Linked DNA regions of Caenorhabditis elegans. The protein of the gene in region 1 purifies or fractionates together with the protein of each later gene. This does not show direct contact. Each region holds a gene or a part of one and is shown in the gene's direction. Other genes may lie near its edges.

Evidence for each region.
Region 2: the proteins of pals-4 (region 1) and B0464.9 fractionate together in Caenorhabditis elegans (co-fractionation; one large-scale study listed by BioGRID). This does not show direct contact.

The regions. Positions count from the first base shown.
Region 1 is NC_003279.8:13,111,336-13,115,262, forward strand, and holds the start of pals-4 (Protein containing ALS2cr12 (ALS2CR12) signature), read left to right. Parts: upstream 1-2,151; 5' UTR 2,152-2,301; coding exon 2,302-2,387; intron 2,388-2,793; exon of another isoform or gene 2,794-2,842; coding exon 2,843-2,990; intron 2,991-3,748; coding exon 3,749-3,927. Other genes in the region: pals-3 (Protein containing ALS2cr12 (ALS2CR12) signature), read right to left, coding at 1-344, 448-702, 811-1,026, 1,072-1,095.
Region 2 is NC_003281.10:9,463,676-9,467,602, forward strand, and holds B0464.9 (putative protein phosphatase methylesterase 1), read left to right. Parts: upstream 1-2,091; 5' UTR 2,092-2,097; coding exon 2,098-2,169; intron 2,170-2,223; coding exon 2,224-2,463; intron 2,464-2,510; coding exon 2,511-2,620; intron 2,621-2,669; coding exon 2,670-3,204; intron 3,205-3,249; coding exon 3,250-3,387; 3' UTR 3,388-3,514; downstream 3,515-3,927. Other genes in the region: B0464.6 (uncharacterized protein), read right to left, coding at 1-670, 822-1,322, 1,370-1,526, 1,571-1,795; baf-1 (Barrier-to-autointegration factor 1), read left to right, coding at 3,794-3,916. UniProt on the Caenorhabditis elegans protein: Demethylates proteins that have been reversibly carboxymethylated.

The DNA.
Region 1 (3,927 bases):
TCACTTCCTCTAATTAGTTTGATTGTGTGACCCGCCGAAGAGTCGACTTCATCTGTAAGATCTCGTCCAGCGCTGACCATTCTGTGGACAGCAGCAATGAAAACATCTTCTTTTCTGTCTTTTCCTAGTTCTCCGTAGAAAAGACCCTTTGTTACCATATTCCGTTCTTTTAACGCAGCCATTCGTGAATCATGATCTATTTGATTTTTTCCATTACCCAACTTGATTTCATTGGTTCTCTGCGTTTCGTTCAAAACAATGGCGTTGTTCTCTTCCGCTGTCTTCAAGACTTTCAGTCCAAATTGTTTCTTCTCGTTAAGACTCTCCTTTTGAAATCGTGTGTTCTGAATTGAGAATAAGTTTGTATTTATAAAAATTGTAACTAATGTAAGGCTATTTTACTGTATATGGAAAAATGCATTTTGGGAGAATCGAGGATCAACTCACCTCCTTTTTCAACGCTTTGACGTTTGCAAGTATGATGTCCTCGCTGTGATTTTTTCTCTCCTGGGTCTGCTTCAGCATTTCTTGATCAATCTTCTCTCTCGTCAAAATTTCCTTGTTATCCGCATCTTTTTGGTTTTTTAATGCCTCATCGGATCTCTGCATTGCTTCAATTTGTTCTTTTTGATTTGATTTTACGAGTTCATCCTCCCTTCTGTTGCTCTCAGTTTTTGTCGCTTGAAGCTGTTCCACGGCTGTCTGAATTTTATAAATATATAATTACCCGTGTTCCTAATTCGTGGGTCGAGACAAAAATTTGTTTTGAAATTTCTACTTGTTTTGCACATGTTTTTTTTATAAAGTCACCTGTCTCTGTCTATCTGCGCGTTCTTCCTCGGCTCTTCTCTGCGATAGTTCGGAGCTTCTCAAGTCACTCATACGCTGACGATTGTACGCTTCTTTTCGTTCCTGAGCCTCATATCGTCTTTTTTGCTCTTCATACTCCCGCTGTGCTTGTACATCCCGTCGAGCTTGTGCTTCCTGTCCCGCTTGGAACTCCCGTTCTCTTTCCTCTTTCGCTTCCTGAAATATTTTTCTTGTTTTAGGAATAAAGAAATAGTCTCATACAGTGTCTGAGGGCGCATTCCCCATGCTTCCAGTACAATCTGAAAACTGAAACAGTTTTGAATTTCTCAATGGTTTCAACGAATATGGATGCTTACAAAATAACGAGAACTCGAATTCAAATCAGGACTAAAATCAAAACGTATTCTATGAGTTAATTATATTCAAAAAAAGCAACGCGGAAAACAAATGAAATGAAATTTCGTTCGATAATAAACCATATATCAGAAGTTTAAGGGTTAGGAAGATGATGAAATTTAATTTACATACTCCTCATTCCTTATACCAATTTTCTTATCTTGTTTCCTTTATAAAAATGCATTATATTCCTTATACTTATCGTCAAACAATTATTCACTTTTGCTACTTTTAAATGTGTTCTTAAAAACTCTTATCATACATCCATTTCAGTTTTGAGATCGTTCGATGGTCGTCGGCAAAATTATTGAAGTTTTCATGAAATTCTGCTGGTCTGGCAAGAATAGGGGTGCAAGACTATTAGAGACTGCAAGACTAATAGAGGAAATACGGTAGCCGAAAAATAGCCGCCCACCCCTGGTTAGCATGAAAAACGTGTCAGTAACAAATGAATTAAGAAGAAAACGCATTACATTGTTGCCGAAAAATTTGTTTCTAGCCAACCAAATAATCCAGGGGATCTATTCTTATACAAAATCGGGTCCGTACACCCACCCTATAACTATGGTCGAAGTCTTTTTTGCAGAGTAATCTAAAAAATGGAAATAAAACAACTGGATAATCAAAAATTAGAATTTGAAAATTTAGAAGTATCAAAAAAATCAAGAAAACAGTTTCATAGAGTGCATTGAGGCAATTTAAAGTTATACACACTTCTTTCGTTCGTGGCAGTATTTTAAAAAAATATTAGTGTTAGCAATATTATGAAAAACCTTTTCTATTCCTTATGACTCACCTATTCCTTATGACTTATGACTCAGCAACGACTTATACAGTTTCATTTATTATAAGGAATCCTCGATTATTCCATTTTGAAAAATGTCATTGCAATATTTGTTCTTGCTAATTGTAACTTCAAATATAAACAACTGTTACCAATATTCCATTCCATTCCAGCATTCATGCAACCGTCTTTTTAGTATTTTTAGAATATTTTACATAATTTTATTATTAATTTTTTTTTGCTTCAAAATTCTTAAAAAAATAATCTTTAAAATTTAAGACAAAACCCTCCATAGGTGCAAAAAAGAGAAAATGAGTGACACCGACTACTATCGAGAACTGGAAGCTTCTGAACAACGATTGAGCGATTCTCGGGCTGCTAATCGAGAAAGTATCAGGTACGTTTTGCTTTGAGGTCCACAACAGGGCTGTGCAGCGATTGTTTTTGAAAAAGCCGCACAAAACTTCTTATTTCAATATGATAATTTAACTTTTTTTAAATCCAAAATTAATATAGAAATGTAGAAAAAAGTTCGTTCCATCTTAAGAGAGCATTTATTTTTTTGGTTGTAAATCTTCAAAAATGTCTCAAATAGTGCCTGAAAGTTGCCGTTTGCCAAAAAAGTGACGCTTAACGGTTTTTCGGTAAACAACAACTTTAAAGCACTCTTTGAGGCATTTCTGCAGCTTTTCAACAAAAAATATTATTTTTTGATAGAACAAACATTTTTCAACGTTTCTATATTAATTTTGAGTTAAAAATTTGGATTATTATTTTTGAAATAAATAATTTTGTCTGTTTACCTTTAAAAAATGTTTCACAGCCCCACAACATCAGCAATACCAATTTCAGGACAGTGGAAGACAAAATATCTGATGAGCGAGAGAAGCATGTGGCACGAATGTCGGAAAAAGAGAAGAAACATCATGAAAACATGTTACGACTTACGAATTCCAGCGCTGCAGAGAGGAAATCCGCAGAGGAAGCACATAGGAAATCGGTATGATCGTTATTAACAAAGTTATGAATTTAGCGCTTGTAGTTTAAGGCACACGTTCTTTTTAGGTAAGACTTCAATTAATTTTAAAATGTATTTTCAAGTTGGGTAGGCAATCTAGGTTCTTACTAAATCTTATATAAAGGGATAGTAGCGCCAGTGAGAAGAATGTTAAAACATGCTCGTATGGTGTCAAAATGACCAAATATCATAATAAACCTTTTCAAACATTTTTTGAAGTTTTTTTTTCACTGTCTAAAAAGTGACAATTACTCAGGTTTTGCCACTTATAATTTTTGGAAATCGACTAAAAAAAAATTGTCCTTCATTTTTTATACTGCAATTTTGTTTTAATTATTCGTATTAAAATATTGTTGGGGTCGGAACAAGCGATATTGCTTTAGATTTCCTCAAAAGCTCATACTTTTCAAAATTTTGACTGGAAATTATAAAAATTATACAAATTTTTGGAGTGGCTTCTTATGATATTTGATCGTTTTGGATCATTTTAAGTGTATTTAGACAATTTCCCTACTGGCGCTACTCCACCATTAAAAAATCATTAAAAGGTATTAAAACTCGAATTCAATAACTTTAAACGAAGTTTGATCTCAATTTGTTTAACATTTGTGTACGCATTTCAATTTGGTCGGCATACAGCCTAGCTTTCTTTAAGACAGCAGACCCACTTCGAAGAAAGGTTTTTTGCGAATTCTGTAAAAAAATCACGCGCTTTGAGATTTAAAAATTACTTTTTTTAGGTTGAACAACTCAAAGAAAAACACAAAAACGAAACGGAAAAGTTAGAAACGCAAATAAAAGAAATAAAAGAGAAGGGAGAAGAAGATGTTAGAAAAGTTGAGCTGCAACGTGCAAATCTTGAAAAACAACGAACAGAAGCCCTTGACATCCATCTCGAAACGATGAAGGAACTCAATGA
Region 2 (3,927 bases), on another chromosome or scaffold:
GTTGGCAACGAATCATTCCATTCACGGCGAACAAGACGTGTCATTTGATCGTTATCATCGGTTGGCTCTGAACCACCCGAATTCCATTTGTATGCATCCATAAATTGAGTGGCACAAAGCTCTTTGATTCGACTGATCAGATATTTTTGATTTGGATGGACACTGAGGAATGGAAGAAGGAATGGAAGATCTGAAGATTTGAGAGAATCTCTTTCAATTGCTGCAAGTTTCAGAGCATCAACAGAAGATACTCCAACACGAAGTGGAGGATTTGCATGCTCTTTATCGAGTATTTTATTGACTTTATCAATGTGTTCGGCCAATGGTTCGAGAATTGTGTTGCGAATCCAGGCTCTAGTCATAAACTCGGCTCTTTTCTGCTGATCTTCCGTTAATAATTCTCCAGTTTGGTATCTGATTTCATTTTCAGTACTAGTAGATCGTTCAGGTGAACTATGAGATCTACGCCGACTACGAATCCCGGCACGATCGATTGAATTGCTTCGTTTCAGAATTCCAGTCTTTCCTTCGGGAGTTAACTTCGCCGCATTCAGTATTTTATGCAAACGGACAAGTTCGTCTTCATCCTCTTCCTCGATCTCTCCATCTTTGCCACGTCTCAACATTTTTACTTCCGTTCTTCCATTTTTACCAATTTTCATTCGGTATGCTGAAAAATAATACAAATTTGATGATTTAAAGCATAGTTTGTTGGTGGAGTGACGGACTCAAAATTTCCCAAACCAACCAAATTTTGTAATGAAAAATCTTGAAAATTTCACAATTTTTTTTTGAAATGGTGGACCGAAGATGCAACTTACATGAGTTAGTATTCCCATCATTCGTGATTTCCTCAGAAACCTGCCAAGTGTTATTCGCACTTATCTGACCACTGCGTCCTAAACCAAATACACTCCAAATGGAAGAAAATGTAGAAGTATTCATATCGACTGGAATCTCATCCTGATTAGATCGGAGAAGCACATCAAGCTGTTTTCTTGTATGAATCGATTCATTAGATTTTCCATAAACTGCCGGGCTTTTCCATCCCCCTTTGGTATCCTCCAGAATTCCCGAAGTGTCTGAGACTGAAACATTTGACATCACTTGTGAATATGAAGGTGACTTCTTGTTTGGAGAAGGAGATTGTTGAAGTTGGCTTGATTTGAATGATGGAGTACCGAAACGGTGAGCATCAACCCAAGAAAGGTCATTGCTTTGTACACTTGTGTCGAGCACATTCTGAGCATCGGGCACTATTGGTGTACTTTTTGATGATTCTGGACGTGGTGGTTTTGATTGAACTTTGTTGTAAACCAGCTCTGAAAAACGATAGAATAAGTTTTTTTAGAATAACTGAAAATCTTACGCTTCAGGGCATTCGGGAATTTGATCTCAAACGCGTACGATGCAATCATAATCAATGAATAAATTATGACGAATAGTGAAATACTAGAATTTACGTAGGAGGGAAAGAATCCGAAAAGAAGAATTGCAGAGGTAAACGATGAATTGAGCACCAAATGCTGAAACAAACTGGTTAATAAAAATTAATAGTTTCATCTCTTACATCAATAGAGAAGCCAGTTAAGAGAATGATGTGCCATTTGATCCTGGTTTCCAGCATTGTTATTCTCGATTGTTCTAGTCTCTGATTATCATTCACATATCTGCTCTTGCACACTGGGGACATTTTGTCTTCAAATGCTGACCGGTTTGATGCCTGTGATGTGTTGAGTAATGAATAGTCTGCATTTTGACTTTTCAGTCGTTCGCGGAGTGAATCCGCAGTCATTGTGAACCTGTAACACACTAGAGTTGATGTAAAGCTTGCGATTAGATTAATATTTATATTAAAACAACAAATTAGTGAGAAAAATCACAGAAAAAACATTTTCGAGGGAGTTTTCGATAAAATATTTTCGAATCTTTTTGTCCTCGTGTACTACGAGCGCGTTGGCCTAGAAAACGCATGTCAGCATTTTCTAGGCCATTTCGGAGATTTTTAATAATTTTATTTTTTTGGCTCAATTTTAATAAATATAGCTTTCTATTTAATTGTCTTAAATATTTAAATATATTAATTTACAGATCACCATGTCCGACGATAAATTAGACACTCTTCCGGATCTTCAATCGGAAACGTCACATGTCACAACTCCTCACAGGGTACATTAATAGTGAAAATTAACAAGATGATGTTTTATTAAATATCAATTTCAGCAAAATGATCTTCTTCGTCAAGCGGTCACTCATGGAAGGCCACCACCAGTTCCGAGCACATCAACTTCTGGAAAGAAACGAGAAATGTCTGAACTACCGTGGTCAGATTTTTTTGATGAAAAGAAGGACGCAAACATTGATGGAGATGTTTTCAATGTGTACATAAAGGGAAATGAAGGTCCAATTTTCTATTTGCTTCACGGTGGAGGTTATTCAGGCCTCACATGGGCGTGTTTTGCGGTATGTTTTGTTCTATTCTAGTGTCAGTCATTAATGGTTCTGTTCAGAAAGAATTGGCAACTTTAATATCATGCAGAGTTGTTGCACCTGATTTAAGAGGACACGGCGACACTAAATGTTCTGATGAGCACGATCTTTCGAAAGAAACCCAAATAAAGTGAGGTTTCGCTTTGATAAGTTTTGTAACTTCTATCGACATATTGTAGAGATATTGGAGCAATCTTCAAGAACATTTTCGGCGAAGACGATTCACCAGTATGCATTGTTGGACACAGTATGGGTGGTGCATTGGCCATTCATACATTGAATGCAAAGATGATTTCTTCAAAAGTCGCTGCACTCATTGTCATTGATGTTGTCGAAGGTTCCGCTATGGAAGCACTTGGAGGAATGGTTCATTTTTTACATTCAAGGCCTTCTTCATTTCCTTCTATCGAAAAAGCCATTCACTGGTGCCTTTCTTCGGGTACAGCGAGGAATCCCACAGCTGCACGGGTCTCAATGCCGTCTCAAATTAGAGAAGTATCGGAACACGAGTACACTTGGCGAATTGATTTAACAACAACAGAACAGTACTGGAAAGGATGGTTTGAAGGATTATCCAAAGAATTTTTGGGATGTTCCGTTCCGAAGATGCTTGTTCTAGCGGGCGTTGATCGGCTGGACAGGGATCTCACAATTGGTCAAATGCAGGGAAAGTTTCAGACTTGTGTGTTACCAAAAGTTGGACATTGTGTTCAGGTAAATGTTATACTCAATTAATAATTTATATAAATTGTCTTGCAGGAAGATAGCCCACAAAATCTTGCAGATGAAGTCGGAAGATTCGCTTGCCGCCATAGAATTGCCCAACCGAAATTCTCAGCCCTTGCATCACCACCAGATCCAGCGATTCTCGAATACAGAAAACGTCATCACCAATAATTGCTCATTTTGTTTTCCAATATTTTCACAACATTTCTATACAAGTTAAGAAAAAAATATTTTATATGAAAAGATTATCGATTAAATTTCCCGTCTTTTTAGTTCTTGGGAATAATAAATGTCAGCGACATACGAATGAATCGATTATTTTAGAGGAGAGGCAGATGCCAAAAAATTACAGTCAAAAAGAAGTATTCGTGAAAGAGTGCGCAAATCGAGAGACGCAGACAGAATGCAAACGCGCTCCGCTGAACTGTGGCCGCCAAGCGTTTCGTTTAAAAGGGAGCGTTGTCTATTTTCCTATCTATTCTTGCCAGTTTTATTTTATTTCGCAACTATCTTTTTACTACGATTTTCGAAAATATTTTCAAATTCAAGAATGTAATTATTTTGTGTTTCAGAAACCATGTCGACTTCTGTTAAGCATCGTGAGTTCGTCGGAGAGCCAATGGGCGACAAAGAAGTCACATGCATCGCCGGGATCGGGCCAACATATGGCACCAAGCTCACCGATGCAGGCTTCGATAAAGTATGTAGATT